3 linked regions of the Struthio camelus genome follow. The protein of the gene in region 3 purifies or fractionates together with the protein of the main gene of each other region. This does not show direct contact. Links are inferred from orthologs where the notes say so. Each region holds a gene or a part of one and is shown on either strand. Other genes may lie near its edges.

Evidence for each region. The genes of interacting proteins can lie anywhere in the genome.
Region 1: the proteins of KIF5B (region 3) and KLC4 purify together in Homo sapiens (affinity purification with mass spectrometry; 4 studies listed by BioGRID and IntAct, with this or other methods). This does not show direct contact. The link is inferred for Struthio camelus from reciprocal best matches to the Homo sapiens genes KIF5B and KLC4.
Region 2: the proteins of KIF5B (region 3) and KLC3 purify together in Homo sapiens (affinity purification with mass spectrometry; 3 studies listed by BioGRID and IntAct, with this or other methods). This does not show direct contact. The link is inferred for Struthio camelus from reciprocal best matches to the Homo sapiens genes KIF5B and KLC3.

The regions. Positions count from the first base shown.
Region 1 is NC_090944.1:148,108,900-148,115,864, reverse strand, and holds the start of KLC4 (kinesin light chain 4), read right to left. Parts: upstream 3,106-6,965; 5' UTR 3,091-3,105; coding exon 3,079-3,090; intron 1,797-3,078; exon of another isoform or gene 1,492-1,796; intron 1,376-1,491; coding exon 1,109-1,375; intron 902-1,108; coding exon 671-901; intron 317-670; coding exon 238-316; intron 146-237; coding exon 1-145.
Region 2 is NC_090957.1:1,405,548-1,412,949, forward strand, and holds the start of KLC3 (kinesin light chain 3), read right to left. Parts: upstream 3,106-7,402; 5' UTR 3,096-3,105; coding exon 3,076-3,095; intron 1,161-3,075; coding exon 920-1,160; intron 82-919; coding exon 1-81. UniProt on the Homo sapiens protein: Kinesin is a microtubule-associated force-producing protein that may play a role in organelle transport. Plays a role during spermiogenesis in the development of the sperm tail midpiece and in the normal function of spermatozoa.
Region 3 is NC_090943.1:17,079,884-17,087,648, reverse strand, and holds the start of KIF5B (kinesin-1 heavy chain), read right to left. Parts: upstream 3,001-7,765; 5' UTR 2,514-3,000; coding exon 2,388-2,513; intron 2,240-2,387; exon of another isoform or gene 2,178-2,239; coding exon of another isoform or gene 2,172-2,177; exon of another isoform or gene 1,677-2,171; coding exon of another isoform or gene 1,665-1,676; intron 1-1,664. UniProt on the Homo sapiens protein: Microtubule-dependent motor required for normal distribution of mitochondria and lysosomes. Can induce formation of neurite-like membrane protrusions in non-neuronal cells in a ZFYVE27-dependent manner.

The DNA.
Region 1 (6,965 bases), on a different chromosome or scaffold from region 3:
GCCTGCTTGCAGAGTGGCACGGCTACCTCGTAGCGTCCCTGTGAGGCGTACTGGATGACAAGGTTGTGGAGGGTACGCAAGCGTGCGGGGATCTCATAGCCTCCCTGCTGGGCAGCTGCCACTGCACTGCTGTGCTGGTGGGGCACTGTGGGCACAGATGAGTAAACGGGGGCAACATTGGGCACAACGGGTTGAAACAGAGGTGGTCGGCAACCATGCATGAGCACAAACACTTACATCCAGGACCGTGCTCCTCCTCCTCATTGGGGAACAGATCATCCAGAGAGTCCTTGGTGGAGTCGCCCTCCTTCTCCTCCTGGAAGAATGGGGATCACGATGCTGTTGGTTCTCAGAGGAGGTGGCAGCAGCCTGGGCCAAATCAGCTGCCAATCTCTCCTCTCCACTGCAGCCCACCAAGGCCCTCAGCTTCCTTGTGGCCTCTGCCACCTTTCCCCTCCCACCCAATGAAGCCAACACAACATCCCCCAACGCACCCTGGCACCCTTCCCCACGTTCTGCCCGAGACCCTGCCCCATGCGGTCTCCCTTTAGTTGCAGCCAAGTATTGCCGGGCAAGGAAGCCAGCAAGGGACAAGGCTATTAAACCTAGGCAATCCCACTGGTCCCAGCCCCCTGCACAAAGGCAGCTGTTCCCCCAGACAAGAACATACCGAAGGAGAGACATCCTCATCATACTTCTTCAGCTGGTTCATGAATTCAAGGTGTTTCTTCTCTTCCTCCAGCTGAGCCACGGTCTGCTCACTGCGCTGCAGCTTCTGCTGGGTGTTGGCGAGTTCATCACGCAGCCACTGGTTCTCCTGGCACAGTCTCCGCACCTGAGCGCGCAGCTTCTGCTTCTCCGACTCCACAGCGTTCAGATGGTTGGACAATGCCATCATCACCTTGCCAAAAGTCCCAGCTGGCCAGTCAGTACCTACCACAATCCTGTATCCCCTACAACACGCAAGCTCAGGAGGGCCCACCCTCTGGGTCACCCTGGCCCTCTACCTTCAGCTCTTTGCTGCCCCTGCAGCTTACAAAAAACAGCCAAATGCCTGCCTTCCCCATCAGTTCTTGCTACCACCTACGAGGGCACTCGCCACTCTCACCTGAGCTTCTCCGAGCCCCAGTTCGATCATCTCCACTGACTTGCGGAGCAGGTTGGATTTCTCATGCACGAGATTGGCTTCTTCATCCTTCTTCAGGCACTTGATGGTCTCCAGCAAGCTGTGCAGGATGGAGTTGTGTTCATTCTTCAGTGCCTCCAGCCCCTGCATCACCAGCTTGGTGTTGGAAATGATCTCCTCTTGGCTCAGCTTGTCCAGTTTCTCCTCCCTTGGGTACACCATGGTGGACATAGTCCTGCTACCGCAGCCCTACACAGAGAGGGAGACAAAAACCCAGGAGCCTCAGTGCTATTTCAGAGAGCTGCAATCAGACAAGTGTAAGCCTCCTTCAGGCAGCCAGAGACAGGGTACAACTGGTTACCCACACTAAGTCTTTCCCCTTTGTCTTCCCCTCTCCCTTTGGCAGCAGGCAGCTCTCAGGGCACGTGTCTCTGCTTCTGTGGCATGGAGCACTGGCAGACAGGGCAGGTGGCACGCATGGACAGCAGACAAAAAGGCCAGAACAAGCGCTGACTTCCAACACCCCCACACCCCTGGCAGCAAGGAAAGCTGATTTAGCTTCCATTTAAGAGCAGAGATCTGTAGTCGGCAGCTGGGGCTGCAACACGTACACCTCCCGCCCACAAATCACTGATGCGAGGAGGCTGTCAGAGCTCAACGCCTCTTCCGACTGCAGAAGAAAGGGAATAGAAAGTGGAGAGATGCCAGCTCAAAGCTTTCCGCTTCCTCAAATTCCCTAGAAGAGTACCTCTCAGACTGGGAGGCACCTGTGGACTTACTAGACCAGTCAACAAATTCCCTGACCAAATGCGGACCCCGAAAATCTCAGCCCCCGGCACAGAACAGCCCTTGTGGGACACGAAAACACCAACATTGACTGAAGCACGTCTGTGTGGGGAAGTTTACATGCACCAACTGCGCAAGTTATACTAGCGTAACCCTTGTGTGGGTGTTAGCTTAAAACAGCAGCAGCTTTCCCAGCTCCATTTGCCCTGCTGCCAGCCCAAGGACTCCTCAGGATGGCACAAGAACTCTGCACTCCTTCCCCGTCTCACTCTCCCCATCTATACAACAGACAGTACCAAGCCACTGCCTTTACACAGGGGCACCGAGCGCTACAATCCACCACGTTAGCATGACCGCAAGATCCCTGCATAGCAAACTCAGGAGCTAGGGAGAGCCGTGCCTCACAATGCGACGCCCCTCAGCAGGCAGCAGCATCTGCCCAGCGACACCCTTCTGCAGGCCCAGAGCTGGCAGGAGGCAGCGCAAGCTGAGCACCCTGGACCCTGCTGGCAGACTGCCCAGGCGTTACACAGCACTGTGGCGGCGGGACAGGCTGAGGAGCCGCCTGGCGGATTTGTGTTTGTCCTCCTGCAGGACCTATCTCCGCAGGATTTTGAGTAATTTGTTCAGCAGCAGCCTTGGGCCTGGGTTCACAGAGCGAGCAGAAATGCCGCCCTCAGCAAGAATGTCTCGTCCTCCTCGTCAAGCCTCCTCTCCTCCTCAGCTGCACACTTTGCCCAGGAGGGCTCAGGACGATCCCCCAGCTCAGCTACCACCAGTCTTGTCTAGGAGCAGGCCCTGGGCACGAGAGGGGACCAATTTCCTCCTCACTGCAGCAGGGAAAGAGAAGATGGATGGAGCCAGGGCAGATGCTGCGAGCACACACAGCCCATGACACCCCACCCGTCTCCTCTTGGTTAGCCTCACTCCTCCAGAACTTCCTCGAGTTGTTTTACAGGCCCCAGCTCTCCTCTCAGCTCCTCTCTGGTCTCTGTTCCACCCCTTGCAAAGCATAGTGAGCTCTCAATGCACAGCAGAACCCTTACTGAACCTCAGCAGAGCAGAAAAAAACACCATGTTGCTTGAAGACTGGGCTCCTCTTCATACCTTTCAGCAGGAATTGACTGTCCTCCCACACAAAGTCACAATGCTGAATTCATATTTACCTCATGATCCATCAGCAGCACCAGCCCTGTGCAGAAGCTTGTCGTATCCTTCCCTTTTGAGCGTCTGTCATTCCCTGCATGCAGTCACCCCAACCGTTTTGCACTTCACTCCCAAAAGTTTCATCCGGCCTGTGACATTTGCCCATTTGTGTAGGAGAACACAACATGATAAGAACAGCATGGAAAACCTCACTTGAGTCAAGACACAGGGCACAGACTAACAGACTATTGCTTTGGAAAAAAAAAAAAAAAAAAAAAAAAGAGAGGTCTGTTGGGAGTTGGCTGCCACTCACATCCTCTCTTCCAAATTGCTTAACTGCCAGTTCCTAGAGAATCCATCTGGTCCATAATTCCCCAGTTTTTCTTTTTCTCCATCTTTATAAAACATCACGGAGGGTGGGGGGTGGGGGTGGAGGGGGGGCTGGGGGAAATTAAGTGTTAATGCAACAAGAGGAGAAAAACCAAACAAATAAACCCCCAAAACCTAAAATAAGCCTTCTCCCGGTGAGCGCAATTCAGGAAGAGATGTGCAATGATTCCTGGCTCCAGAGGAAGTCAGGGCAGATACCTATCTGCTTCCACCAAAGCTGAGGTAACAACTGCTAAAGGGCAAAACGGACCTGTCACTAGCTTCAACTCAGGAGGGAACTCAGCCCTAGACTCAAAAACAGAGAAATCTGAAAACAGGAGTCCTCTGGAGCAGAGCCAACGCTCAGAGACATGAGGAGGTCCCAGGGACTGCCTCGTACCCAGCATACAGCAAAACTAGAGCTCTGCCCTAAAGCTCACGCAGCTGTGCAGCCTGCAAACGCCTCTTCATCCGTCCCTCCACATATAGGGTCATCTGTGAAACACTGACAGTGTTCAAGGAAGCATTACGGATGCCCCTACAGAGAGGATGAGCTCTTGCTGCCATCTTTGATAAGCACACTACAAACACATGGGAGAGAGGTACACATTATGAATCATGACAAAAAGTCACCATCAGAACTTGCACCTTGCTAGATAACAGAGTCAGACAAGACCCAGATCCATATGAAATCAGCCTCATTAATTCCACCACGCACAGAATTACTCCTTGACTGAGAAGTCTGAGCTGTCTGTTAAAATAGCAGCATCCCGTCTTTCTTCAGCCTTTCCAGCAGAAAAAGCTGAGAGCATTTCACAGTCCCCACAATTAACTTTCTTTCACAACTTTCAACGTTTCAGAGTGTCTGAGAAGGGAAAATAAGCAAAACGTGCTGACTTAGGGCACATCAGACTTAACCTACCCTGGAAGTGCATATAATGATCCTTGGATCCTCAAGACATACTGATATCCCTTATCTCTTCGGCTGTGCAAATACCTACGCAGCCCTCACCTTTCTTCCCTAAGAGGTGTGCAGACTCCGATATCCCAGACACGCAGCTCTGCTAGCTACCAACAGGCTTAGCGCCCAACTCTGACTTCCCGTGCAAGGGTGGTGGCGGGGGGGGGATTGTCTAGGCTGGACACTCCCCCGTAAGGGCATAAGACCAGGCAACAGCACTCAGGCTGTCCTATTCCCCTCCCAAGTACTGACAAGGAAATAAAGAGAGAACTGCAGAGGAGTTGCTTAAATGCTGCTACCTCCTGCACAGGAAAGAAAGCCCACAAACGCTGGTGAGAGATGGTTTATTATCCCTCCAAAGTGACAGTTTGTCCTTACAGCACCTTATTTCTAGCTCTCCCCAGTGCCGGCAGGTCTACGCCCAGTGCACAGCCCTCAAGAGAGCAAACACGCTCTATGGCAACCGACACTAAGGTCAAGCAGGCTGAGGCTGCTGTGTAAGCACTCTTCCCACTCCCACACGCTCAGCAAAGGGAACCGAGTGCCTTTTGTCCAGGCAGAATATCCACTCAGAGACGGGGAGACACCACCCTTTACCTTTGGAAGGGGGAGGCTCAGGCCGGGCAGTTTGGAAATAGGAAGAAAGGGTGCTTTTCCAGTGGGCATCCTTGGGAGCTGGAGTGTCCAGCTCCCAGTTTCTCCTGCTGGCTCCCCTACGGCTCTGCGGGTGCTGCAGCCCAGGTCTCCAGCAGCATGTTTCTGCTCTACTTGGCACGTCTTCCCTATTCGCAGTAAGCTGCTGGAACAGTCTGGCTTTTCAGCAATACGGGTCTCCCCTCCCCTCCCCTGCTCTCCTTTGGAGGAGCGCTGCAGGAGGACAGGGGAGGAACATGCGTGCACCAAGCTTTCTGGCAGTCGCAGCAATGAGCTGGGAATCCACCAGCTGGCATGTCCTGCTAGGCAGGAACCTTCCTCCTCGATTCAAGTGTATAACCAGGCAATTGCTGAGCATCAACACTTTCATCAGCCCACTTTTCTGCCTCTGAAAAATGCTCCCACGTGCAAGAGCTTTAAGAGGAAAGCTGGAAGCTTCACTGCTTGTGTCTTAAACCCACAACAGCTGCCACATCAGAAACTAGGATGCCAGACTAAACGGGTCTAGATCATGATGCCCAATGCTGGAAGACCACAGGGAGCAACAAAATTATCACCAGGAAAATCAGGTGTCAACTACAATAAGAACAAAGACTTGAGTTGGTCATTGCCTGCACCTCTACACGTGCCTCTACAAAGTCAGCTCCCTTCACTGTCTCCCCAGATGTCCCCGGACAAAGTGTGTATCAGACACAGGGCAGTGTCAAGACTTGCACAAGCAACACTGTCAAGACAATAACTGCAGCTTCCTTCAAGCCATGGATTGCCTGCCAGTCCTTTTTGTATAGGAGCAAGTAAAAATTTTAGCAGCACACTCTTATGTGGGAAAAAGCAATATAAGGATATGGTGGCAGTAGAAAAACAACTGGGTTTCGGGGGTGGGGAGAGAAGGAAAGGAAAACTTTCTGTGGGAAGGAATAAAACTGATTCTTAGTGAGAACAAGAGACCAAGTTTGGGAGATGGATAGCAACAATAGTGTTTTAGAGATGGAAACATGGGACCTGAAGTCTTATTTTCACAATAATCATCCCAGTCATGTGCTGTGGGACATGCCTTCACTACCTGGAAAATGAAGAAAGCTATGCATTTGGGAAGCAAACCATAACTTGATAGAGGCAGGGAGGTTTTTTTCCTTTGCACCTCTGCAAGCTCATTACTGTTACACAACACAATAAAAGATCTCTGGGAAGACTGGTCAAACTCCAATTAAGCTGAGACTGAAATCTGCAATTGCAGAGCCTCCACTCCTAAGGGACACTGCAACAACACCCAGACCTAATGCCTTAGACATTCAAAAATAAAATAACAACAATAAAAAGCAAACAGAGTCCCAGGGTTGCAACCGTCCCAGAGGCTGTGTCACAAGCACAAGCTTTCTCCTGCTTTTTGTCCTGTGGCATCAGAAAGGAAACAGACAGAGGCTAGGAAGCTCCTGCTGCAAGGCCAGGAAACATTCACACCGTCACATCACTACCAGCAGAACTGCTGCGGCCAGGGTCGTCGCCCCACGTGAGCTGTGACAGTGCCACGGAAAAGGGACCGCACACTGGTGCTGCCAAGTTGCACGTGACAGGCGGTGTGTCCAGAGCTGCTCTGATAGGGGGAACACAGGAAATACGATCAGCTCTGTGTGGTGCCCAAGAACTTCACAGCTCCGAGCAGCTGCAAGCACACATGTTGAAACTTCAGAAACAAAAGCAAGAGAAGGATGTTTTGCAAGTGAAAAGACAGATGGGCGTACAATCAGCTTCAGGGTAACAGTTAAGAACTGCTACAGCTAGGAATAAGAGCCAGAAATTAAAGGACAGATGCTGAACGGCTAACAGTAAGGTCTGCAGAAATAATTGCAGTATATGGCTCCCTGCTGGGCTACATGCCTGCTGAGGCTGCCATTCGTGGCAGGGGGCAGGAACAGTGCGCCA
Region 2 (7,402 bases), on a different chromosome or scaffold from region 3:
GGCCAGGCGGGTGGCCTGCGCCCGCAGCCGCTGCCGCTCGGCCTCCAGCGCCCCGACGTGCGCCCACAGCCCCAGCAGCAGCTGGGGGCAGAGGGAGGGTGTCGGGCACGGATGGGGCACCTGGCACCTGCTCTAGCACCCAGCTCTGGCTCCAGCACCCATCCAGGCTCCAGCACCTGGCTCTAGCACCCAGCACCTAGCTGTAGCACCCAGCATCCATCCCAGCTCTAGCACCCAGCACTTGGATCTAGCACCCAGCTCTGGCTCTAGCACCCATCCCAGCTCTAGCACCCAGCTCTGGTACCCAGTACCCATCCCAGCTCCAGTGCCCAGCTCTAGCACCCACCACTCGGCTCTAGCACCCATCTCAGCTCCAGCACTTGGCTCTAGCACCCAGCTCTGGTACCCAGCACCCATCCCAGCTCTAGCACTTGGCTCTAGCACCCAGCTCTGGTACCCAGCACCCATCCCAGCTCTAGCACTTGGCTCTAGCACCCAGCTCTGGTACCCCGCACCCATCCCAGCTCTAGCACCCAGCTCTGGTACCCAGCACCCATCCCAGCTCCAGCACTTGGCTCTAGCACCCACCACTTGGCTCTAGCACCCATCCCAGCTCCAGCACTTGACTCTAGCACCCAGCTCTGGTACCCAGCACCCATCCCAGCTCTAGCACCCAGCTCTGGTACCCAGCACCCATCCCAGCTCCAGCACCCAACTCTAGCACCCAGCACTCAGCTCTAGTACCCAGCACCCATCCCAGCTCCGGTATCCAGCTCTAGCATCCAACTCCAGCACCTGTCCCAGCTCTAGCACCCAGCTCTGGCTCCGGCACCCACCCTGGCTCCAGCAGCCAGCGCCGTCCCAGCAGCCCACCTCTAGCACCTAACACCCACCCAGCACCCACCCGCCCGCCGCGTACCTCCGCTTCGTCCAGGCCCAGCTCGATGCCGTCAAGCGAGCGCCGCGCCAGCTCCCGCTTCTCGGCCAGCAGCTCCGGGGTGTCGCAGGGTGCCCCCGGCTCCAGCACCCGCAGCAGCTGGCGGCTCTCGGTGCGCAGCGCCTCCAGCCCCTTCACCACCTGCCGGGTGCCCGTCACCAGGGCGTCGGGTGCCGGGCGGCCCGCCGGGTCCCCGCCGGGTGCTGCCATGGGGCTGTCGAGCCTGCGGGAGCGGAGGGGTGGGAGGGGGTCACCGCGCTGCAGGGATGGGTGCTGAGATGGGCACGGGTGGCCGGGCTGGGCATGGGTGCTGCTTTTGGGCACAGGCGTCATGCATGGGTGTCATGCATGGGTGCCATGCACGGGTGACATCCATGGGTGCCATGCACAGGTGTCAGAGCCAGGCATGGATGTCACGCATGGGTGCTGGGCATGGGTGCCATGCACAGGTGCCAGTGGTGGGCATGGGTGTCAGGCACGGGTGCTGTAGGCGGGTATGGGTGCTGGGCTTGGATCCCATGCACGGGTGCCGAAGCCAGGCATGGATGTCTCTTATGGGTGCTGGGCACAGGTGCCAGAGGTGGGCACGGGGGTCAGGCATGGGTGCTGGGCACGGGTGCTGGAGCTGGGCAAGGGTGCCATGCATGCGTGTCAGAAGCAGGCATGGGTGCCATGCACGGGTGCCGGGCACGGGTGCCAGAGGTGGGCATGGGTGACATGCACAGGTGACATGCACGGATGCCAGAGGTGGGCATGGGTGTCATGCACGGGTGTCATGCACGGGTGCTGGAGGCAGACATGGGTGCTGGCCCTGGATGCACGGGTGCCAGAGCCAGCCATGGATATCTTGCACGGGTGCAGGCACGGGTGCCAGAGCCGGGCAGAGGAGCCTGCACCCAGCAGGGGTGCGGTGCCCCGGGGCGGCTCTGCCCGGGTGATGCGGCCAGCGTGCCCACGCTCGCCCACGGGCGCCACGTGCAAAGGCCTCGTGCACCCACGCCCCAGCTCACGTGCGCCCACCTTGGCCCACACGTGCAGCCTGGTTTTGCACACGTATGTGCACGCGCAATGCCCCCCTCCCCCAGCCCAGCCACCTGGCCTGGCACCATCTCCAGGCTTGCACGCTCGCGTGCATACTCTCAGCCCTCGCCCGGGGCTTTGCACAAACCCGGCTTTGTGTCACCCATGTTGCACTTGTGCGTGCACACAAAACCTCGACTTTGCATTCGCATGTGTGCACACAAGCTAGCTTTGCACACACAATCACACGCCCGGGCGTGCACAACTGGGCTTTGCACACACAACCTGCCTTTGCACTCACGCGTGCATGCCCCACCTGGTTTTGCAATGGTGCACGCGCACTAAAACCGGGCTTTGCACTCGCACGTGCACGCCACCAGGCTTTGCACGCGCATGTGCCTGTACGACTGGGCTTTGCACGCACAACCCAGCTTCGCACGCCCACGGGCCCACACACCCGGGCTTTGTGGGCAGAGGCACATGCGTGTGCCCCCCCCCCACTTTGCACGTGTGTGCGCGTGCAAACGCAACCCCCCCCTTCTTGCACACCGGTGATCACACCCGCCCCCACCTTTTGCGCACCCTTGCACGCCCGCGTGCACGCGCCCCCTCCCGTGCACGCGCCCCGCCCCACCCCCGGCAAGCGCATGCGCACACGCGCCCATCCCCCTTGCACGCGCGCCCCCCTCCCTTCGCAGTCGTGCGCATGCGCACGCGCCCCTCCCCGGCCCCCCCTCCCGGCCCCCCCCGCGCGCATGCGCACGCGACCATCCACAGCCCCCCGCCCCTCCCGCGCGCATGCGCCGTGGGTCCCCCCGCCCCGCCCCGCCCCGCCCCGCCCCGCGCGCGCCCCCCGGCCCGGCCCCACCGGCGGTGGCGGCACCGGGCGGAGCCCCCCGGTCGGCTCGGGCCGAGCCAGCGCAGCGCACCGGGAGCGGGAGAGCCCGACGCCCCCCCCCCCAACCCGCTCCCGGACCGGACCCCCCCCACACACACACACACCTCTTCCCCCAAAACCGGACACCCCCTCCCACCTTCAAAACCGGTATCTTCCCTCCCCACCCCCCCCCCGGGAGCGAAACCGGCGGCCCCGGCTCGAACCGGCCGCCCGTACGCACCTGCCGCCGGGCTCCGGCATCGCCGCCTCCCCCCCCTCCCGCCCCTCGGCCACCGCCGCTCACCTGCGGCCGCCGCCGCCCCACAATGCCCCGCGCGCCGCCCCCGCCGCCGCCATCTTGGGCCGCCTCAGCGGGAGCGGGGGGCGCCCTGAGGCGGCCCCGGGAGAGGGGGGGGCACCGCCGGGGTTAGGGGGCACCCCAAGGACAAGGGGACCCCCCCAGTGCTATGGGGCACCCTATTGGCACCCCCGTCCCACCCTGGGGGGCTCCGGACCCCCCCCCGCCCACCCCAGGGGCACCCAGACCCCCCCATACCCACCCTGGGGGGCTCCAGACCACCCCCTGCCCACTTCAGGGGCACCCAGACCCCCCCCATACCCACCTTGGGGGGCTCTGGACCCCCCCCGCCCACCCCAGGGGCACCCAGACCCCCCCATACCCACCCTGGGGGGCTGCAGGACTTCCCAATGCCCACCCTGGGGTCACCCATACCCACCCTGGGGAGCTCCAGACCCCCCCGTGCCCACCCTGGGGTCACCCAGACCTCCCCATACCCACCCTGTGGGGGTTCCAGGCCCCCCCATGCCCATTCTGGCGTCACCTAGACCCCCCCATACACACCCTGGGGACACCCAGACAGCCCCCCCACGTACACTCCGGGGGTACCGAGGTGTCCCTCACCCCCCCCACCCTGCCATGGGTGCAGGTGCCCTGCCCTGCCTGGGGGGGCACCCACAGCCCAACATCCCCCCCCACCATAGCACGGGGAGGGGGGCTCGCCCACCCCTGGGTGCCTGGGGCCACCCGGCGGGGGGTACCCCACTCCCTGCCTCGGTTTCCCCCGCAGGGCCCCATGCGGGGTGGTGGGTGCCCTCACAGTGTCCCCGCCGCCTGGCCCTCCCGGTCCCCCCGTGGGGGTCCCCAGCACCCGCTTCCCCCCCGCCCCACCGCCCGGCCCGACACCGGATCCCCGCGGGTAACCGGACCCGGCCTAAAAATACCGGGTGGGGAGGGGGGGGGAGGCTCGTCCCCGGCTAGAATTGCCCTGATCCAGCGGATCCTTCCCCAGGGTCACGGCACCCGCTGGGTGTCCCCAGCACCCTGACCTCCCCCCCCAACCCAGCACCCACAGCAGGGACCCCACGCCCTGGGGGTGTGGGTGACATGGGGGACGGGGCGCTGCTGGCACCCTCCGCGGCTATTTTGGGCGTGGGGATGGCTTGTGCCACCCACCGGTGGCCTCCCCGGCCTGGGGACGGGGGTGCCACCGTGTCCCCAAGGGGCACCCGTGGACCTGGCGCTGGGGGAGGTGAGGGGGGAGACCCTTGTGGCCGGCCTCTCCTCACCTGGGTCTCCCCCTCTCTCTCCATCCCTCTCTCCATCTATCCCTGCCTCCATCTCCCCTCTCCCGCCACCGTTCCTCCATCCCTCCTTCCATCTCCCCATCCCTCTCTCCCTCTATCCTCTCTGTTCATCCATCTCTCCATCCCTCCTCCATCTCTCCATCCCTCCTTCCATCTCCCCATCCCTCTCTCCCTCTATCCTCTCTGTTCATCCATCTCTCCATCCCTCCTCCATCTCTCCATCCCTCCTTCCATCTCCCCATCCCTCTCTCCCTCTATCCTCTCTGTTCATCCATCTCTCCATCCCTCCTCCATCTCTCCATCCCTCTCTCCCTCTAGCCTCTCTGTTCATCCCTCCATCTCTCTCTCCATCCCTCCATCCTCTTTTCATCACGCCACCCATCCCTCTCATCCACCGCCACCTCCTGCCATCCTTCTCCCTCCCTCCTACACCTCCCTCCATCTCCTCTACCCCTCCGCTGCTCCCTCATCCGTCCCACCATCCCTCTCTCCCTGCCTCCGTCCCTCTCCCTTCCTCCCTCCATCCCTTCCTCTCTTCCTCCATCTCCTCCTGCCATCTCTTCTCCTCCCTCCCTCTCGCCATCCCTCCCACGCTCTGCCCGGCCCTCTCTCCTTTCCCTTCTCTCTCCCTCCATTTCCTCTCTCCATCCCGCCCTCCCTCCACCCTCTCCCCGTCCCGCACCCACATCCGCGTGTGCGAGGAGGGGGCGCAGCGGGCAAGGACCGGGGTGCGGGAGGTGGAACAGCGAGCCCTGTGCAGGGTGCCGGGTGCCCACGCAAGGTGCAGGGTGCCCATGCAAGGTGCAGGACACCTATGAAAGGTGCAGGGTGCCCATGTTGGGTGCAGAACACCCACTCAAGGTGCAGGACACCCATGTAAGGCACAGGGTGTCCATGCAGGGTGTAGGACACCTGTGCAAGGTGCAGGGTGCCCATGTAGGGTGCAGAACACCCATGCAAGGCACAGGGTGCCCATGTGGGGTGCAGGACACCTGTGCAAGGTGCAGGGTGCCCATGCAAGGCGCAGGGTGCCCATGTGGGGTGCAGAACACCCATGCAAGGTGCAGGACACCCATGCAAGGCACAGGGTGCCCATGTGGGGTGCAGGACACCCATGCAAGGTGCAGGGTGCCCATGCAAAGCACAGGGTGCCCATGTGGGGTGCAGGACACCCATGTGGGGTGCAGGACACCCATGCAAGGCACAGGGTGCCCATGTAGGGTGCAAGCTGCCCATGTGGGGTGCAGGACACCCATGCAAGGTGCAGGACACCCATGCAAAGCAGAGGGTGCCCATGTGGGGTGCAGGACACCCATGCAAGGTGCAGGACACCCATGCAAGGCACAGGGTGCCCATGTGGGGTGCAGGACACCCATGCAAGGTGCAGGGTGCCCATGCAAAGCACAGGGTGCCCATGTGGGGTGCAGGACACCCATGTGGGGTGCAGGACGCCCATGCAAGGTGCAGGACACCCATGCAAGGCACAGGGTGCCCATGTGGGGTGCAGGACACCCATGCAAGGTGCAGGGTGCCCATGCAAAGCACAGGGTGCCCATGTGGGGTGCAGGACACCCATGTGGGGTGCAGGACGCCCATGCAAGGCTCAGGGTGCCCATGTAGGGTGCAAGCTGCCCATGTGGGGTGCAGGACACCCATGCAAGGTGCAGGACACCCATGCAAAGCAGAGGGTGCCCATGTGGGGTGCAGGACACCCATGCAAGGCACAGGGTGCCCATGTGGGGTGCAGGACACCCATGTGGGGTGCAGGACACCCATGCAAGGCACAGGGTGCCCATGTAGGGTGCAAGCTGCCCATGTGGGGTGCAGGACACCCATGCAAGGTGCAGGACACCCATGCAAAGCAGAGGGTGCCCATGTGGGGTGCAGGACACCCATGCAAGGTGCAGGACACCCATGCAAGGCACAGGGTGCCCATGTAGGGTGCAGGACACCCATGCAAGGTGCAGGGTGCCCATGCAAAGCACAGGGTGCCCATGTGGGGTGCAGGACACCCATGTGGGGTGCAGGACGCCCATGCAAGGCTCAGGGTGCCCATGTAGGGTGCAAGCTGCCCATGTGGGGTGCAGGACGCCCATGCAAGGTGCAGGGTGCCCATGTAGGGTGCAGGGCACCCATGCAAGGCACAGGACACCCATGGAAGGCACAGGGCGCCGTGCAAGGGCGCGCGTGCGAGGGCCGGACGCAGCGGGCGCCTGGCTGGCCCAGCGCCCGGCCCCACCTCGCGGCCGTATTTCAGGGCCGGGCAGCTGCCGGGCAGGGTGCCCGCTGGCCACCCGCCGCCGCTGAGGCCTGACCCGCTCGGTGCAGGGGGGGCCTGGAGGGTCCCGGTGAGGCCGGGCCCATCGCACCGGGGCTGCCTGGGGCCCTTCTGCCCTCCCTGGGCCTGGTTTTACCCCCCTGGTCTTGGTTCCGCCCCTTGGTCTTGGTTTTGCCCCCTAGGCTCAGTTTTACCCTCCCCAAACCCCGGGTTTGGTTTTGCACCCCCCGGTCCTGGTTTTAACCCCCTGGGGTCGGTTTTCCCCCCCCGACCCTCGTCCCAGCTTTACCTCCCTAGTCCCGGTTTTGCCCCCCCCCCCCCGCCCGGTCCAGCTCGATGTAACCCAGTGGCGGGTGGTACCGGCCCCCCCCGGTACCCCCCGGTGTCCCGGGACCCCCCGATGTGCCGGACCCCCTGGTGCTCCGGGACCTCCCCCGTTTCCTGGACCACCCCGGTGCCCCGGACCCTCCGGTGGCCCCGGACCCCCCGGTACCCCCCGGGGGCGGGCCGAGGCGGGGGGGCGGCGCGGCCTCGGGGCTATAAAGGCCGGTGCCCGGCCCCGCTCCCCGCCGCCGCCGCCGCTGCCGGTCCGACCCCTCCGACCCGACCCGACCCGACCCGACCCGACCCGACCCGTTCGTCCGCGCCGCTCAGGTAACCCCGCGGCACCGGCACCGGTACCGGC
Region 3 (7,765 bases):
AGAGGCTCAACTCACTGTTCAAATGGCAGACAATATCACATGTAGCTGTAAACACAGAAATTCTAATAAACAGTTGAAAGCAACCAAACATACAGCTTATGGAGAAATGTTTTTAGAAACCATTTCATGAGAAGAGCTGCTTCTTTTACTGTCCTCCCTTTAGCAATTCCACAAAACACAGGCAAGATGTGTTTGGATAGCTATATCCTCAGGTTGGAAGGTAACTTTTTAAAACTTCAGTCAACTAAAAACAAAACAAACAAAACGAAAAAAAAACACACAGCAGAATCCCAGAACATCAATCCTCTATTAAAATAAGACTCGAGTACCATCACTGCTCCCATAATCTAATGGGTTTTTTTCAGTATTTTCTCCAAGGTCAGACACAGCAAGTCTTGGACCTGAGATCACTGAAGGATTTTTTGTTTTTTCCTCATGCAGAAAACACTAAAACTAGACAAAGTTATAAAAAATACCAGCTCCCTACCAAATCCCAGCAAGAGCCCTGCATTTTCCTTCAGGACCATGACATCACATTGATCCACACAGATTTAGTGCCACCTCAGCCCAATTTACATTTTAGACATTTTAAAGAGTATTTAAAGACTATCTAAACACTATAAAAGTTTTCTCCTCAATTCACAAACAACGAGAAATTCTAGTTTTAATGTTTGGTAGTAAATGCCTTAAAAAAATTTTAAATTGTCTAATTAAACTGTCTAATTGTGAGAAGCAGACTATTGCAGATGAGAATGCAGAAGATTCTATTCAACCTGCAACGCATGGGTGGAAATAACATTTTAAAGTCCATTCCAGATCACCTCCTTTTTCTTATTTGATGTGTACTTCATTAGAAACGGCTGTAATTTAGCCCAAGAATTACTGAAAGAAAAAAAAAGATGTGGAAAATGCATCATCTATGAAAAAGTCAGAAAAAAAAAAATTGTGAAATTAATCCTGGATTTTAAAGAGATCATACAGTGTCACAATGAATGGATACTCATTGATGGAGTGAGATCATTTGTTCTAGTTTTCCATTTCTAATTTCCATTTCTAGGCTTAGTTCCTTACTCTGAGGAGTTTACCTGTACCACCTCAGTCAGAAGAGGTCTACTCCAAGTTAACAACTTGTCAGCTGAAAGAGGCCCAAATTTACCTCATTTCACAAGCACTCTAGTTTTCTTGCAGCTGAGAACTGATGGAATTCCATATTGTATTTGCAAAATCAGTTGAATTCAAACAGAATAAAGCACTAGTATTTAATATGACATATTTAAAAAAAACTGATGCTATTAATGTCTTCTTCAAAGTTCAGATACTGTGAGAAAGAGGTAGTACTGGTAACCTTAACAAAGAGAGTAACAAAAACAAAATTTAAAGAAAAATAATCAACTGACATTTCTAAGTTCTGCGTTTAGCAATGCAGAACCAGGATCGTCTCTAGAGAATGATTAAAAGTTAGCAGAGATAGAACACAAGCATTGGGAATAAAGCGCGTATTTGCAGAATACCAACTAAACCAGGCAATAAGCTACTGTGCTTTATGTTCCAGCTCCACTTTGTAGCTAAATGTGACACAATGAACAGCAAGGCTAGGACTATCTTCTCCCCTGAAACTTTCAGATTGCTATGTAAAAGCTCTCATACCTTATTAGATGACTTACGTTAAAACGCATTCATAAACATGTAATAAGTCAAAAAGTCTCAGTTCATTCTTCTTTAAAAGAAGTTATCAGCCCATGACTGATTTACAGATCAGTCAAGCAGAGCTCACGTTGCTGCGCGTTTTCTTTCTAAAATCTTTCTGTTGATAATTACGTCGCTGCTAGTTCCAATGCACACTTTTTGAACGACTATTTATTCAGCGGCCAAACTCTTCACGGTGGCCAAAACCAGGCGCAGCCTAGCCAGGGGACACTCTGCAGGACTCGTCTGTTGCTCCAGCTCCTAACTCGCACGTCTTCCGTGGCCACAGTGAAGCCTGCCCTGTGGCTCGGGCTCAGCAACGACAACTCCAGTTACGCCCCAAGTTGCAAGCCTTTTGCTAGAGCCTTTGTCCATGTTTCCTGACCTGCTACCACGGGAACGTCCTGCAACCACACATGCACGGCCAGGGGATGCACCCCCTCCAACCGCTCCCCGAGCTCTCCTCTCTGCCCCGCCATGCCCACCTCCATCCTAGCCGGTTCTCTTTACCGCTCTGCCCTGCCCTCCTCCCCTTCCCACTCCCCCCCACCCCAAAACAGCCACCCCTCTCCGCCGCGGCCCAGCCTCTCGCCTCACACCGCGCCCATCCCCGCGGTATGTGACCCCACCGCCCGCACACCCCCTCCCCCCGGCGCCTTCCTCCCCACCCCCCGCCTTTCCCATCCGGGGCGGCCCCTCACCGCGATGACGACGGTGTCTTCGCCTTGAAACTTGGCGACGTACTTGTCGCCACGGGCCACTTCGGACTCGTTGAGGGGCCTGAAGCGACACATCACTTTGATGTTACACTCCGCCGGGTCCGCCATCTTAGGCCAACGCCGCCGCCTCCGGGGCGCTCAGCTCCGCCGCTACCCGCTGCTGCCTCTGCGCCGCCCGCTCCGGGGGTCTCACAAGCCGCCGTTGCCGCCGCTGCCGGGAGGCCCGCGTCCGCCTAAGCAGAAGGGAAAAGGGAAGGGCTCCTTCCTGGCCGCCACGGCCGCCTCCTGCTCTCACTTCCTCCCCAATATGGCAGCCATGGCGGCGCCTGCAGCCGGCAAGTCCCGACCCTCCCCTCCCGGGCAGAGGCGGCGCGGACGGCAGGGCAAAGAGGCGGTGACGTCACCCTCTGCAGAACCCCCCCCCCCCCAACCCCGCCCCCTCGGCTCGGAGGTGCCGCGCAGGCGCGGCGGGGCACAGGCGAGGGGCCCGGCCACGACGGGAGCTCGACGGCGCAGGCGCGAAGCCGTCGCTGGGGAGGAGGGAGGGAGACCACCCGGCGGGAGGATAGGCGTCGGGGGTGCCAACGCTCGCACCGGGCAGGCGCAGCCAGCGCGAGGGGGCGTGGTCTTGTGGGGGCGTGGTCTTGTGGGGGCGTGGTCTTGTGGGGGGCGTGGTCTTGTGGGGGCGTGGTCTTGTGGGGGCGTGGCTCCCTCCGAGCCTGGGGAGAAGGGTGTGATAGGGGCGCGTGTGAGAGCTTCGTCCCGCCCGCTGTACCTAGCCTGACCGTGGCCGTGACCGTGGCCAGCGTCCCCCCACCCCCCCGCCCCCGCTCCCCTCACGCACGCAGCGGAGCCGTTTTGCGGGCGCACGGCCGGGGCTAACGTTGGCCACGGTACCGCATGGCGGGAGACCTCGTCTCCCTGAGGGGCCGGGGCCCTCAGGGGCCGTTAGCCCTGAGGGGACGGGGCGCGCGCCTCAGGCAGGCGGCGGCGTTCCCGCGCTAACGGCCGGCGCCGGGCGCTTCGTGGCTGTGAGGGGGGGGCGCGACACAGCCCTCTGCCTGCGGCCGGGCCGGCCCTCCAAGGCAGGGCGAGCCTGAAAACTGACCTACCAGCTTTAGCGGGCGTGAAGTTAAGGCGCTGGAGAGAGAAACCTCCGAACTGTCTTGACTCTTTTTTGCCTTTGTTCAGCAGAATTAAAAAAAAAAAAAAAAAAAGCATGAGTATGCACAGAAAGCCTGCCAATGGAACTGTCAGTATTTTCAAAATTTCCCCCGAACTAATTCCTTTTCCGGAAACCTATGGAGGTCTTGTGGGGCTAGGGAGTCTGCAGGTCACGTTCTTAGGAGGGCGTTGCAAGGATACACAGCCTTTACAGTTCGTTTCCCGTGAAGAAGTCTCTCCCTACCTTTCCGTTCCAATGAAGAAAGAATATGCACGATAGTTTTCTAAAGTTTCCTTTATCACAAGTTTTATTCAATACAGATTAAATAGAACTGCAATGCTAATCCATGGATATTTACTGACGGTATCTAGATTTAAAAAGTTGTTAGGTAAGCCATTCAGATCAGAGGCTCTCAGAAGAGTTTCAAGATTTTACTGCCATACCCCTTTACATCTAGGTATAATATGAACTTTCAAACCGGGTCAAAGTACAGATTTACAGCTCAGCTCAGTAAGTCAACTTCCTGTCAGAAATCGCCATCTGTGCTGGAAACTTTTAAAATGGCCTTGAAATTAATGAAAAATGAGGGAGTCCTCTTAAATTAGTAAATTTTAGTAGGCCAGAACGACTCAGAATAGCAATGTCATTCCTTTGAAAGTACTCTCTTTTTCATTAGAAAAGGGTACATGTTTGTGAATTTTAATAGGGACCATCTGAAATCAAGCAGCCTCCATTTTCAAGGCCCTTCTTACTGCAGGGTTTTGAATGGTGTGTTTTTACTTAGTATAGGTAAAGAAGGCGGATGTTGCTTCAAAATTTCTCCATGCTAATCCACATGGCAGGAAAGTTACCTAATAACCTAATTTCGTCTACAGCTTTTTTTCATACTGTCATAGAAAAAATATTTTTTGCACCTTGTTTGATGTTCTGAGGTAAGCTCTAAGTCTTCTAAATTGAGATCATGTTGTAACAAGTTTATTTTTCTGCTGTAGTTAAAACTGCTGCAGGACTATGCCGCCTTGATCGGAGCAGCAACAATTACACCACCCAACCTACCAGCGCTCTTTAGCTGTTTGATAAGGCCAGGCTGTATACTCCGCCTGCAGAAGGTGCACTGCTGCCCCACAGCATCTAGCATATGATGGTTCTGCTTAACTGTTTCAATGAAACGTATTGTCAATAAAATATAATGGTGGTTCTCCTTAAAATGTGAGAAAGCCTATTTTTGTTGAATTCTATTTTAGAATTTGTGAATTTAAATCCCAGTCAGCAAGATATATTAATATGTCTAACTCAACTATTTCTTGGACTGTCCACGTGCTTATGGGTAGGCATATGTTTGTACAGCTGCTGGGTTTGGATCCTTACAGATTTCCTGTGACAGGAGGTTATTATTTTTATGAAGGGCACATAAACTATTTACTACTTTTGCAATTCGTTTTCTTTAATAAGTGAGGAAAAATAAATGTTAGCTGCAAAATCAACAACTTCATGATTATTACTCCCAGAATGTTTCAGCTGGTGATGTATCCTTTACCCTAGTCTATTTGGGAAACTTGTCATTATCATTATCCACAACCGAAGGGGATATATCATTAGCTACATTTGCTGACACACAGTACTCAAAGTAAGAACAACTCGGTAAAGGAAAAAAGCTCGTAATGAAATGGTTCTCGAGAAAATAAATGCTTAGGCCTGCTTATCTTTTCAATGTTTCAAACAGCATACACTTTACAAAGAGACAGTATAGACTCGTGAATAGGTAGTTGCTCTTTTTAATTATGCTGTAACAAAAAAATACCGGGATGTGTGAACTGTGTAGAAGGATCTGACCGCTTCTAGGCTGTTGGTTCCATGCAAGCTCGTGGGAGACCGTGGTTGACGGTATCTCCCATACTGGCTATGGGAAACCTTACTAAATGAGTTCCCTTGAACTAAACATGCGTGTTCTCGTATTCATTCCAGGTATTCGGTCATGAAGATTGTCTTCTGTGGTCTGCTCTTCAAAATGTTCAGCAACCATTCTTTTACGTGACCTATTTACAGTCTAACAATGCTGCAGCATATTCAAAGAGAGCAGTGTGTTATCTCTGTTGGCTCTAAAATAGGATATCAAACAGCAGTCTTGATGACTTGTGCTTAAAGATGTGGTGCCGCTTTCCCAAAAGCAGGGCAGAGACCAAATGTCCTGCCAAGTTTCCAATTTTGTCACGATGAAAAAATTCTCTTTCATTTTTAATTGGAAATATATTTTACTTCTTCTGGAATATGTAATTACCTGTTTATACCATACTTTTTCAATTATTTAGGGTGAAAGACCGTTTAAAGTCTGTTATAGTGAGAAAATATGGCATATTAGTTGTCATTAAAAAGTGAATCTTTCCATCTGATACTTGAGCCTCATAAGTGAAATATATTTTCTAAAGAAACAATTTATCTAATAAACAAGTATAGTAAAGTTTCTCAGTAAAGACCAACGTCTTTTAATAAAAGTAGTTTATCTAACCACTTTATATCTACTAGTTCGCTATGTTTCTTCTCATCTATGATCTGTGCAATAATCCTCTAGAAATTCTTTTATGATTTGCAGTTCCTTTAGATCTCTAGTATCTTCCTGGCATTAAAAGATCAGCATGTTCAGCAAAGGGGCTTACAGTGAAACTCTATCTGGATATTGATGTAATTAACCATGAAAATTGTTTTGGCAGAGTGACAGTAATCTTGATTTGATCTTAAAAGAATATTGCATATTTGGATAAATCTTTAAAGCAGGTGTTTGCAGAGAAGCAAATTAAAGCTGCTTCCTCCTGCCCCTTAAAGAATGAAATTCTGAGATGGTAGATTCATCAGTTGACAGTACTTGTTGAAATTCAGTGTTCCTGATGCAAACACAAGTGCTCTTTTCATTTTGATTTGCAATATGCTGGAAAAATATAGCACACTACTTTTCAGAATCTAAGGTGCATTCTAGGTCAAGTTTATTCTGAATTTGTAAATCGACTTGTAGGACAAATGGGTGATTAGTTTGCTAGATGTGCTGCACTTGGAACAAAATTCTTTGTTACGTGTAACACCCTCTGTCAATAAAGGTTCTTAAGATAATTTGTGAAGTCTAGTGTCATTGCTTGACACTGGAAAAGCCTTCATTAGAAGTAACAAGATTTTATTTCAGACAGCTTATTCAAATACATTTTAAAGTCTCTTTACCAGCAAACAAACTGAGCGTGTTCAGTCAATTCAGCTTGGGGAACTCAGTAGCTAACTAAGCTGAGATTAACAGAAGGTTGAATGGGTGAAATTCAGTGGCCTAAGATACTACTGGAGTCAAACTCGATTATCTAAAGGTCTCATTCAGTTATAAAATTATAAAGCTTCCTTTTGCTCCACCAAATGATTCAATGTTGGAATGTGTTTCCTGTCCCAGTCAAGTTTAGGCTTTAGTATGAACTAGCAGGATGAAACATGCATTGAGGATGCAGCTCCTGATGCACATAAATTTCTTGTCATAAGTATGAGTAATTATTTTTTTTTTTTTACTAGAAAGGCATAAAATGCAGAAGTTGACCTCTAATTTACTCCTAATTACTAAGACCATATTTAATTGTTTCTAACAATATTAGACCAATTAAAAGCAAAATTAAGCTCCAGGAATAACATATGTTTATTTTGGCTACTTTATGCAAAAGCATGCAAAAATTCTGTAAGCTTACTCTCTAAAGCATTGATTCTGAGTCTTATTTGGAGAAGGGCTATTCTAATTTCTTTTTCCATTGCTTGTAATCTCTGCTAAAATCACCACTGGCTTGTATTTTTGCTTGCTGTGTGCTTGCCTCAAGCAATTTTTTTTTTTACAGTGGCAGCAAAAATAGCGTAGTGGTTTTTGAGAGTAAGATTAGAGATACATTGCTTGTTGTTGTTGCTAAAGGAAAATTATTGTACAAGTTATAGCAGTGTTAACCTAAGGATTGAAATTTCATAGGGAAATCCATGTCAAGGCTCTACTTTTAATCATGTAAAACTACTCAAGCCTGTCCATATCATAAACAACCTTTGAAAAAACGGCATATGAACGTATTCTTTAGAGTGCTTCCTATTGAAGCTTGCACTGGAAGTAAAACCTCCAACCTCCATTCCCTCACAGTTACTCTCAGTGACTCTAGTGTGTGTGTATCAATCACTGAACAAATGAACATGC